Canis lupus familiaris: one gene and its partner. The protein of the gene in region 1 interacts with the protein of each later gene in a biochemical or structural test. Links are inferred from orthologs where the notes say so. Each region holds a gene or a part of one and is shown on either strand. Other genes may lie near its edges.

Region 1 (5,216 bases):
AGAAATTAAAGAACAGTGATTGCTTAGTTGTTGATTAACCAGAAAGGGGCATGAGTGAACTTTCTCTAATGATAGAGAATACTCTCTCCCTCTCTCTCTCTCTTTTTTTTTTAAGATTTTATTTTTTTAATTCATGAGAGACACGCAGAGGGAGCAGGAGGCTCCCTACGAGGAGCCCGATGTGGGACTTGATCCCAGGACCCCTGGATCCCGACCTGAGCCAAAGGGAGATGCTCAACCACTGAGCCACCCAGGTGCCCTGAGAATAGTCTGTGTCTTAATGGGATGTAGGTTACATGGGTTATGAATTGTCAAAACTGATCAAACTATATAACATAAAATCTTTTCTAAAAGATTCAGAATAGGGACACCTGAGTCCTGTATAATCAAGTTAGATTCTTATCCATACAAAAGTTTGGGTAGGGGAAAATGGAAAGGGTTAAAGGCAAGCTTCCTATAGTGGATACCTTGTTTTACTGAGACGGTTTTGATGATGACCTTATCTGGAAAACCGAAATGGGTATTTTATTTTCTAGTAGTCTGAGAAAGCTTGTTCAAGTGTAATTTACTGTCTGCTTAGAGAAACTTCGAAGACAGCAGGGATAAGCATACTTCCTGGAGCCAGCCTTCCCTTAGACCTAGACAAGGTGGCATCTGCCCCCACCCTCCCATCTTTGTATCCTTATTTGAGACTCCTGGATCCTTGCATCAAGAGCCCAGCCATCCTGTGAAGAAAAGTTGATCTTGTGGTATCCTCTGTGAATAACTTATTTGTTGCGTTTTTCTAAACCTTGTTTTGGTGGCATGACTAAGGAATTGGGCAAATGTAACCCTATGGGACTTTGAAGACTTGGAGTAAGGCTTTGGTAGGCCTATGTGCATTAGAGTGATGGCCAAGAGCCGGCTCCTTAACTGGAGACTATACTATTAAAGATGAGTCTTTGATGTCGTGTGTGTGTGTGTGTGTGTGTGTGTGTGTGTGTGTATAAGGGAGAGAGAGAGAAAGACATGATTGTCATGGAAATTTATTACTGACTCGTACATGAAGACAGCTGGTATCACACCTTTTTCTTCACCCTTTTAAATGTCAATATGTACTAAGAAAAATCTGAGAAATTTTAAGCTTCCCTTTGTCAGGAAATAGAACTTAGATATTTCTTCTTAGATATTGTATCACCAACTGCTTAATTGCCCACCCACAACAACAAGTAGTTACTGAACCTCTTATTTTATAGCCAAACAAGTACATACAACTTGGCCACACACAGTTGTGGGAGAGTGCTGATGAATCCTTAGCATACCCAGGTGAGCTTGCATTTCTGAGTGTTGTTAGAGCTAGACGTAGAAGATGTTTCTCACTTACACATAGCTCACTTTCCTGCATGCTCAGAAGGCTAGTTACCGTGACCATGATTATTAAACTTCAAGGACCAATGTCGCATGTCAGATGGGAACTAGGCATATGTGGGTAGAAATCACTATCCCTCTCTCTTGTGGTTGGGAGAATTAAGAGCAGAGATTCTTGGGTTCTTAAAATCCATCCTTGTGGGGGATCCCTGGGTGGCTCAGCGGTTTAACGCCTGCCTTTGGCCCAGGGTGCGATCCTGGAGTCTCAAGATTGAGTCCCACGTCGGGCTCCCGGCATGGAGCCTGCTTCTCCTTCCTCCTGTGTCTCTGCCTCTCTCTCTGAAAGGAAGGAAGGAAGGAAAGGAAAAAGGAAAGAAAGAAATAAGCAAACTAGCTAGCTTTAAAAAAAAAAAAAAATCCATCCTTGTAGTCATGTCATATAATTTGTTTTAGGCCTTAGAATACTCCCTGACCCTCTTGGGATTTCATAGATGTTTCTCCCCCCTTTCTTACCTTTCTCACTTGACATTAGTATCAGTCCTTGCTTGTGAATCTTGTTTCCATTCAATATGGTAGCAGAAATAATCTTCTGTCACTGTTGATTAGATTCAGTCTTTTCATACCCTTTTAAAAACACGTCATTGGCTTTAGAATAAATTTTTAGAACTTGTACCAAAAACTAATGTTTTGAGAAGAAAAAGTCTTCTCAGTAACATTGTTTCCCCTCAATCTAATCAAAAATACTCTTAAATGCAGAAGTTAGAAAATGGTGAATAATTACCACTGTTCCTGGAAGTCTTTGTGTTCCTTAGTAATTAATGTGTTGTGTCATCTTTGGTTCTGCTTCTTGACAGTCCATCAAACTGAATGGTTGTCTTGGATTTGTATTTAATGAAATTTAGTCCTAGCAGAAAACTGTTGGGTCACAGACTCTACAGCAGAGCATTGATGCTGATGTGGGGATGGGGATATTTATACCTTTGTATTGATAGAAGTCCATTTTGGGGACGTGCCATTTGGGCTTTTCCCAAGAACATAATCACTTTACAGAATGAAAGCCAGAGGCTGGCTTAGTAACTAGACAGGGGCCTGTTGTGCTTGACAGTGAAACGAGACTAACATGAGTTCTCACCAGGTTAGATACTCTAAAATTTCTCTTCAGTACTCTTCTTTTTCTACCTTGCTTATGCTCAGGTTCCTTTGGTTCAGAGCTCTGAGCTTGAATATTCAAAGTCTATTTTTACTCTACCATCCCTACACAATCTACATAGACCTTTGGGTTTGGGTCTTTGCAGGGTGAGAAAGACTGGCAGAAATATGAGACTGCTCGGCGACTGAAGAAGTGTGTGGATAAAATCCGGAACCAATATAGAGAAGACTGGAAGTCCAAAGAGATGAAAGTCCGGCAGAGAGCTGTAGCCCTATACTTCATAGACAAGGTGAGCATCTTCCTATCACATTGCCTAATACGTTGGGCTTACCAAATATGGGATTGTTTACATTTCCAGGCCTTGTGCTAAGTACTGGAGCAGTACCCATCTCTGGTCCAATAAGGAGGGTAGAAGTGGAGAGAGAGGCATTTGGAGTCTGCTGGTCTCTAAATCTGAATCTTCTGCAAATACTATGACATTTTCAAACTGAGTATAAGCCACCAAAAAAATTTTTATTTTACGTCATGACCCAACACACATAAATATATTTGTAGTTGTGTGTAACTGCAAAGCTGCACAAAACAGTGTTTAGCCTTTCTACAAGCAATGAATTCTGACATTTTAATTTTTTTCTTGTTTTTAAAAAGAATGGTTATAACCCTTAAAATTGGTTAAACAATCCATGAATGTTTCACAACTATACTTTGAAGGACCATGCTCTAGAGGAGATGAGTTTGTCACTACCTTTTTGAAGATTTTGGTTTCTTTCCCAATTTTGCACTGCTTAGCACAAAATCTAAATTATCTCAAAAATTAAGCAAAATTAGGAGACTACTGAGTCTATCACCCAGAATAGGAATACTCTCTTGTTTGCTGCTTTGTTGTTGTTGTTGTTTTTTTTTAATTTCTTCCTTTCCTCCATTCTTATTTGAGAGAACAGAGTAAAGAGAAGCTTGGTTTTATGAGAAAGGGTAATATCACTATGATTCTCTGTACTTCATTTTATAGAGGAAGGAGCATATAGAATCCAGAATTCCCAAGCCTTGCAGACTGATACTCTATCCCCAGAGTTAGGAGACTTCTGATTTGGATTTCCTAGAGATCGTAGAAAATTGAAGTTTTTTCATTTGCTCTCATTTCTCCCTACTTCCTGGACAGCTTGCTCTGAGAGCAGGCAATGAGAAGGAGGAAGGAGAAACAGCGGACACAGTGGGTTGCTGCTCGCTTCGTGTGGAGCATATCAATCTGCACCCAGAGTTGGATGGTCAGGAATACGTGGTAGAGTTTGACTTCCTTGGAAAAGATTCGATCAGATACTATAATAAAGTCCCTGTTGAGAAACGAGTAAGTTACTTTGGCCTGTGCACCCTGGCCTGTTTTTCCTTCATTTCTTTCGTTCGTTCGTTCGTTCATTCATTCATTCATTCATTCAGCAAGCATATATTGAGTGCTTTTTGTATGCTCTTCACTTGCTGAACACTAGGGAAATAGTTTGAAAGAGAGAGGAGAGGTATTGGTTGTCCTGTGTACCTCCTTTTAGTCCCTGTCCCTCACCTACCACCCCGTGCTACACCTTCCTGGGAATGAGGGCACCATGTCCTAAAGTAACAGTCAACAGTGCATGCTGTAGAGTGTTGGCCCTAGTGGCAAACTTTAGCATAAGATTTAACTCACCTTACTGTAATGATTCAACCACATTTCCATACCCCCGGTCTTGTTGCATATTTGTCATTTTTGTAACTTTGCTCAACCTCTCTCTGAACTCCTGACTGAGCCAAGCAATAGCCCTTTAGTCCTCAAATCTCTGAGCCCATACCCAAAGAGGGCACTGCAGCTCCATGTCCATCCGTCCCCCCCCCCCCCCCCAACTCTTGGGCTTGAACCTGTAATCTAGCCCTTTAAAAGTCTGATATTTAATCAGTCATTAGGCTTTGTTGGCTGTGGCAGTGGTCCATACTAAAGAAGTGCTAAAGAGACATGACAACTAAATGTAATACCTTAGATTGGATTCCATCCTGGAGAAGTAGAGGACATCATTAGGTCAGCTGACCAAATTGGAATATGAACAGTAGATTGAAGCATATATACATGCAAATTTATGAAGCTGATAAGTACTGTGTGAATGCAAGGGAGTATCTCTATCCTTAGGAAGTTCTTAGGAAATACACGGAGATATTTAAGGATAAAGGGCTCATAAATGATTCAGGACAAACAGTTGTGTGTCTACACACATGTATGTAGAGATGGAAGTGAGGCAGACATGTATTGTGCAATGGTGAATGTTGTATAAAACGTTAATGGTCAGTGAATCGGTAAAAGGATGTGGGTATGGGTATGCCTTATGCTTTTTTATTTTCTAAGTTTTTGTAAGTTTGTAATTATTTCCAAAGTAAAGGCTTTTTAAATAATAGGTTCTACTTATTTTCCTTTAGGTTTTTAAGAACTTACAGCTATTTATGGAGAACAAACAGCCTGAGGATGATCTTTTTGATAGACTCAATGTGAGTGGACAGATTGCACGGGTTGAAGGAGGGGCCCAGCCGGAGCCTCCTCACAAGCTCCTAAAGGAGAGGTTTGCCTGGGGGTGACTTGGACTACTATCCCTTCAGTTTGTCCTGTGGCATCCTATACACTGTTCCTTCTGCAGGCACACAGTGAATCCATGACCAAAGCCCTCAGACAGGTGGACAGACCCTACCTTTTATTCTCTTCTGGCTC
Region 2 (5,988 bases), on another chromosome or scaffold:
GACAGAGTCCTTTTGTTTGGGTTTTATTGGGCTTCTGTTTCTCAATATGTCTTCATTGTTAGCTCTTAGTTTTTAGAGATTCAGAAAGTCTTATTTTCCAGTACTGCAAGGTCCTGAATTTTTTCTTCTTTCCACTTTTGTATCTCCTCTTAAATCTGCCTCTTCTTGCCTGAGCTTATATTTCTTAAAGTACATTCCCAAGGTAGCTAGTAGTAGTCAAACATACTATAACTTTTTTTTAGCTACTTCTCCCAGAACCTCAATTCATTAGACACTTTGCTTCCAAGTTACTACTGCCCCATCTTTTAGCCTCCAATTCCAGCATCCTTGCCTCCAATGTTAAGCCAGTGCCATTGGTTTGATTTTTATTACAGCAGCATTAGTACCACTTTAAGGTAATGCTAACTGTAATGCTAACTGTGTAACAAATTACTCCCCAAATGTATAATGGCTTACACACAATAAAAGTCAAGGAATGGCAAGGGTGGGGTTGGGGTTATTTCTAGTCTACCCAGTAATTCGTAAGACTGTTAGGCTCACAAAATCTGTCTAAAACACAAAGCTGAAACTAAAGCTAAGTAATTTGCCTAAAATGATACAGCTTCCTAGAGAAGGTTCCAGAATTCTCACCACTTGATTCTGGCTCCAAAGCCCATGCCCTTTCTACCATATACATTGTATCTAGGTTTGAAAAGATAACAGTGAACCAGCTACCCAGGCAAAGTTTGCATTCTGTCTCTCATATCTGAGTCAAATAGTAAACAGGTGGGAATACATTACCTCCTTCTATTGGACTGAAGCTGTTTCCTCATAACTTTTTAAGGTTTTTCCTATTTCTTGAGGCTATACAAAATAAACATTATCTCTTTATCACCTATGAAGACCACTTTCTTGCTCCTCTGGAAATTTTGAGTGAAACTTCCCCTTATACTTCCTTCACTTATACCTCACCTTCACGTATACTTTAATATTCTGAATATTGCTCATCTTTGGACAGCTTCTACTTTAAGTCTCTTTCAAAATGTGAATGCCACAACTGAACCACATTTTCCTTGTGAGATCTGACCAAGTGAAACTATCATCTCTGCAGGCAAGATTTTTTTGCTAATGCATCTTTGTTTTTTGTTTGTTTTTTGTTTTTTTTTTAGGGTGATATAATTCTGGAGACTGGAGAAGTAATTCCACCAATGAAAGAATTTCCTGATCAACATCATTGAAGATTACTTTAAGATTTCAAAGGCATACAAAAAAAATTTCAAAGGCATATGAGGCCACGTTTATTGATGCATTACTGTATTTACTGAATATATTTTCTGGAAAAGTAATAAAGTTTACTCTGAGATATGTGTGGTCTATTTCTTCACAAATATTGTACAATTTGCAACTCTTTGAGTTATTTAACAATAAGTAAAAACTGGACAAGCCAAAAAAATATGAGTGATTACCTTTTTCTGACCATTCTTGACTTGAAAAACAGGATGTAGAAAGTAGTCACATGCCAGTTTTTTTTTCTTACATGGTACTTAATCTTATGTGAAGGTATGCAACAGAATGAAATGTTGCAATAAACAAGTATAAGAACAGCAATTCCACAGACTGTTTTAAAGAAGACTGAGGCATTTTAAGAGGTACTTTAGAAGCTCTAGGTTGAAAAGCATGTCATTCCATCTATGGTCCAGTACTCAACATGCTGTCAGATCTAGGTTGGTTTGTTTTATATAAGAATGTAAAAGAAAACCTCTGTGAGAATTAGATTGGTGGTGATTATAAAGGACTACGCAAAAATAAATTTATAAGCATCGCATAATGGATTTTACTTTATATCTAGACACGTGCCAGGGAAGCATCAGGTAAAGAACTATGTGAACAGCATTAAATCCAGAGGAATTACAAATATTCATCCCCAAGATCTGTCTGGGTATTCCTTGCTTAGCTGTCGTCGTGCAGCTACTGTCGATGCATAGATGACATATCCCCAGGAGAGCAATACGACTGCGAGGAGCAACTAAAAAAATGCAAGAGAGGGAATAAAGGCCAAGAAAATTACGTAAGTGATAATTCAGTTCCCTCCCTCCCCCCGCACCGACAGGTCGCCGAGGTGGTACGTTGCTAAGGTGAGAATTACAGTGAAAAACTCGAATAAATGGGGTCCCGGAGGCAAGTACACCCTGCGCCCTTACGTAAGAAGCGGAAGAGCGTGTCTTCCAGGAAGAGGCGGAGTCGAGGTGAGAGAGTGAAAGCCTTAATACAGGAATGGATTTTGGAGTTTCTGGGCGCTGAAGAAATAGGGGGCCTTCCGCCTGCGGGCCTAGGGAGTCGACACCGTGGAGCCCCGCCAGGCCAGGGACTTACCACTGAATAAATCCAGTCCAGGGTGCGGCGACTCACTGGCTTCATGGTAAGGAGGCGGCGGCGGCCTGCGGGAACGGAGGGAAGCTGTAGGCCCTAGAGTCACCTCCGGGGCGGCGGCTGCCGAGCGGCGGCAGCCATCTTTCAGCCGGGCACGAGCGCCCGCCCCTCGCCTCCGGCAGCGTTTCCCATCAGCCCGGCCGGCCTCTTCCGCCCGGAGCTGGAGGCGGGCTCACGTGATCCGGGGGCCTAGCTCGCCGTGGGGGGACAGGGTAAAATAAAGGAGGAAACGTGTTAAAAATGGCCTTTTCCGCCACTTAGATGGGCGTGCCTTGTCAACGGGTCTTTCCGTTGCAGTGCAATATCCGTGCAAGATAATATGCCGTCGTGTGCATTTAAAAATTTATTTGAAAAAAATGATCTTCATTTTAAGTATGACACGGGCTTCTAACGCCGGAGAGATGAACATTTCCACCCGCATTTCTTTCCACGTAATACAGAGAGACGTTCGCATATTCATCATTGACTTAAGAGTACCACCCACTTTTATATAACAGCGACGAGTCGTGGTGGGGAGTCCCTGTTCATTGAGCCCTTCTTCCTGAAACAAAAGTCTTGGAGAACGCAATGGCTTGTGGAAGAAATAACGTAACTGCCAATCAACAAGTGTTTTTTGAGCGCTTTTTGTGTGCTTAGGGCGGTAGCACGTGTCAAATTTTCAGCCAGAGACGGCATTTTGTACGCGGGCGGTTGTAGCAAGTCCAGCTCTGCAATGTTTTGGGACGCTCTGGTGTGAGGTCTGTGGGTAGAACGGGGCAGTGGGCCGCCTTAGGCCCAGACGTTCTGTCCCTGTACATCTCAGATATCACCTAAAGAGGGCTTTAACCCGGATTCCGGGGAATGGGGAAGTGTAAAGTATTCCTTTGAGAGGAAAAAGCTTGTCTTGGGAAGATTTTAAGGCCCCGTTCTCTTAGGTAATGCCTGTTTACCCCTGGGCTGGAGTAGATTTCTTTACGAAGACCGCGTAGGACACTGCTTGGGCCCTGGCTCTGGATTCCATTCGAATCCCAGAGTTCTGTCCCCGCTGTGCAACTGGAGGCGGTCCCTTCCCCTCCAAGTAACTCCGTTCCTTTTTACACTGGAGGTAATTTTAGCAACTTCTCGCAGAGTTTGGTCAGTTTTAAACGAGACCAAGCTAAGTTAGGAGCGAACGTCAAGTATCGCGCCTGTAGGCCCCGGAAACTACTGGTAACGAGAGTGATGGTGGCGGTTAGTGATTTGTGCCTGGGCGATTCTCGGAGCTTTTACGCCCGGAGTAGGGGCGGGGGCGGGGGCGGGGGCGGGGGGGAAGGGCCGGGGCTCGGGCGAGCATTCTAGGCCCCGCCCTCCATGCCGGCCGGCGCCTTTCTACCGCGCATGCGTTACGCACGCGGGTGTTGTGTTTTGACGCGCGGGGAGCTGCGGAGGGGGTCTCGTTTCTGCTGCCTCCCCCCAAGCTGCCATTGGTGATGAGCGCTTTACGTCACAGGGGTCGCAGCAGCCGCCGGGGTCTCCGCTGTCTCGCGAGGAGGGTGAAGCGCCCCCGCCTGCTCCGGCTCCTGAGGGCCGGCGGCGAAGTCGCCGGGTGCGCCTTCGCGGATCCTGCCGTCATCGACCTAGCTTTCTGGGCCGCCGGGAGCTTGGCTCGAGCGCGCCAGCCGGGCCTGCGCCGGTATCCTCCGAGGTGAGTGAGATTCGGAACAATGGGGCGCGGGGGTCGGGAGGGGTGGGCCGGCCGGCGCTCCGGGCCTGGGAAGAGGCCCCGGCACCGGGGAGCTGCGATCTGGGCCTGAGGGGCCGGCCGGGCCTCGGCGGGGCGGGGCGGGGCGTCGGGGCGGGGCTGGCGGCGGGCGGGCCGGCGGCTCCGGTGTCGCACCTGTGGATTTGTGCCGGCGGGCGGGGGAGGGCTGCGTTTCCTAGAAGCCCTCCCGAGGGGCGCGAGCCTGGCGGTGTACTGGAAAGAGCTCGGCCTCGAGGGGGTGCGGCGGGGGGGGGGGTGGGGGGGGGGGGGGGGGGGGGAGCCCGCAGCGAGCACTGCGTTCGCGTCTCCTCAGAGGTGTGCCGGAGGTTAGATCGAGCGTCCTCCTCTCACTGCCTGCCTGTAAAACGGGAGGAGCAGTGTTGTAGTTCGTGTGATTATGTAATGCACGTGGGGCTCATCTGCGGTCCTGGCCGGTGGCCGTTCTCAGCCGGAGGAGGCCACTGTCACCGTGCTGTTACACGTAGGGGGCCGGGCTCGCCTGCCTGTGGTTTCTCCGTCCTTCCAGTCAGGGCGGCTTTCCTCGTGGGCTGCCGAGTCGTAGCCTGGAAGGGGGCAGTACTGAGGTGAAGCAAACAATGCCTTAAGGGCAAAAGGGAACAGAATTTTCGGTAGGTAAATTTCAAGATTATTTAAGTTAAATTAACAGTTATCCGAGATTTAAGTTAACGGCGAAGTTTGGGTTCTTTTTTTTCTTTTTTTTTTTTTTTAACTGTTTTTATTGCTTGTAGTCCATGAGATTCAAAGCTGTAGTCAGCCAAAACCATCATGATTAGCTGGAATGAGTGGCTTTAGCGGGGAATGGTTCCCTAAAAGTTCTTTTTATGTCTGGTATTGGAATTAAAATTTATAAGACCTGGTTAATAGATCCTTTAAGATCCGAATGATCCTTTGGAACTGGTGATTACATTGCAGTTGAAGGAGGTACAGTGATTTCGCTAAGGTAATAAAAAGAACCCAGATTATTTTTTAATACTTGGGGTTTATTCTAGTGCATCTTATTTTGTACGCTTTTTAGCCACCTTGCGTGGATATACGAAATGCAGTAATTATATTTAGAAAAAAAGATGATTTGTGGGCAGCCCCGGTGGCACAGCGGTTTGGCGCCGTCTGCAGCCTGGGGTGTGATCCTGGGGACCCCGGATCCAGTCCCACGTCGGCCTCCCTGCATGGAGCCTGCTTCTCCCTCTGCCTGGGTCTGCCTCTCTGTCTCTATGAATAAATAAATAAATAAATAAATAAAAATTAAAAAAAAAGATTATTTGTTATAGTTTTCCTGAGTTGTTATAATCAGCTATAGGTGATGGAAAGGACTAAAATTAACTTTATTTTCACATGGGGTAACAGTATTAAATTCTTACCCCATACTAATCATGCTAAGAGTTTACATAGAGTAATATATGCCTTCACACAACCATCTTTTCAGGCGGGCGCTAGTACTTAATCGATTTTAGAATTGAGAAATTTTAAGGTTTTGAGAAGTTAAATAATTTCCTCCAGATCACACCATTAATAAGTGGTTTTGATTTTCACCCTGGCTCTGCATTAGAATTGATATCATTCCCCTATATGTAATCACCATTTTTGAATGTCCAGTTTATAATTTAGCCTTCAGCCCTTGATTCTTCACACCCCCCCCCCAATCTATTTTCCCTAGGTAAGTATGCTTGTTAATATCTGAAATTCCCCCAAAATGTGACAGGAAGCATTCTTACCTTGTTAAAGCCAATAGGTTTAAAATTTGGGGAAGGTTTGGTTTAATCAGTGTATCCTAAAGATGATAAACTTTATTTAGAATTTGGGAGGCTTGGTTAAGGAAATAGGATCAGAAGAACTGATTT

What was found.
Region 2: of the proteins of TOP1 (region 1) and TOPORS, one has a biochemical effect on the other in vitro, tested with the Homo sapiens proteins (2 studies listed by BioGRID). The link is inferred for Canis lupus familiaris from reciprocal best matches to the Homo sapiens genes TOP1 and TOPORS.

Annotation. Positions count from the first base shown.
Region 1 is NC_049245.1:29,729,256-29,734,471, forward strand, and holds part of TOP1 (DNA topoisomerase 1), read left to right. Parts: intron 1-1,009; exon of another isoform or gene 1,010-1,686; intron 1,687-1,860; exon of another isoform or gene 1,861-1,971; intron 1,972-2,642; coding exon 2,643-2,786; intron 2,787-3,656; coding exon 3,657-3,842; intron 3,843-4,930; coding exon 4,931-4,999; intron 5,000-5,216. UniProt on the Homo sapiens protein: Releases the supercoiling and torsional tension of DNA introduced during the DNA replication and transcription by transiently cleaving and rejoining one strand of the DNA duplex.
Region 2 is NC_049232.1:50,046,359-50,052,346, reverse strand, and holds the start of TOPORS (E3 ubiquitin-protein ligase Topors), read left to right. Parts: upstream 1-2,216; 5' UTR 2,217-2,395; coding exon 2,396-2,398; exon of another isoform or gene 2,399-2,598; intron 2,599-3,877; coding exon 3,878-4,072; intron 4,073-4,436; exon of another isoform or gene 4,437-4,758; intron 4,759-5,988. Other genes in the region: NDUFB6 (NADH dehydrogenase [ubiquinone] 1 beta subcomplex subunit 6), read left to right, coding at 1,149-1,217. UniProt on the Homo sapiens protein: Functions as an E3 ubiquitin-protein ligase and as an E3 SUMO1-protein ligase. Probable tumor suppressor involved in cell growth, cell proliferation and apoptosis that regulates p53/TP53 stability through ubiquitin-dependent degradation.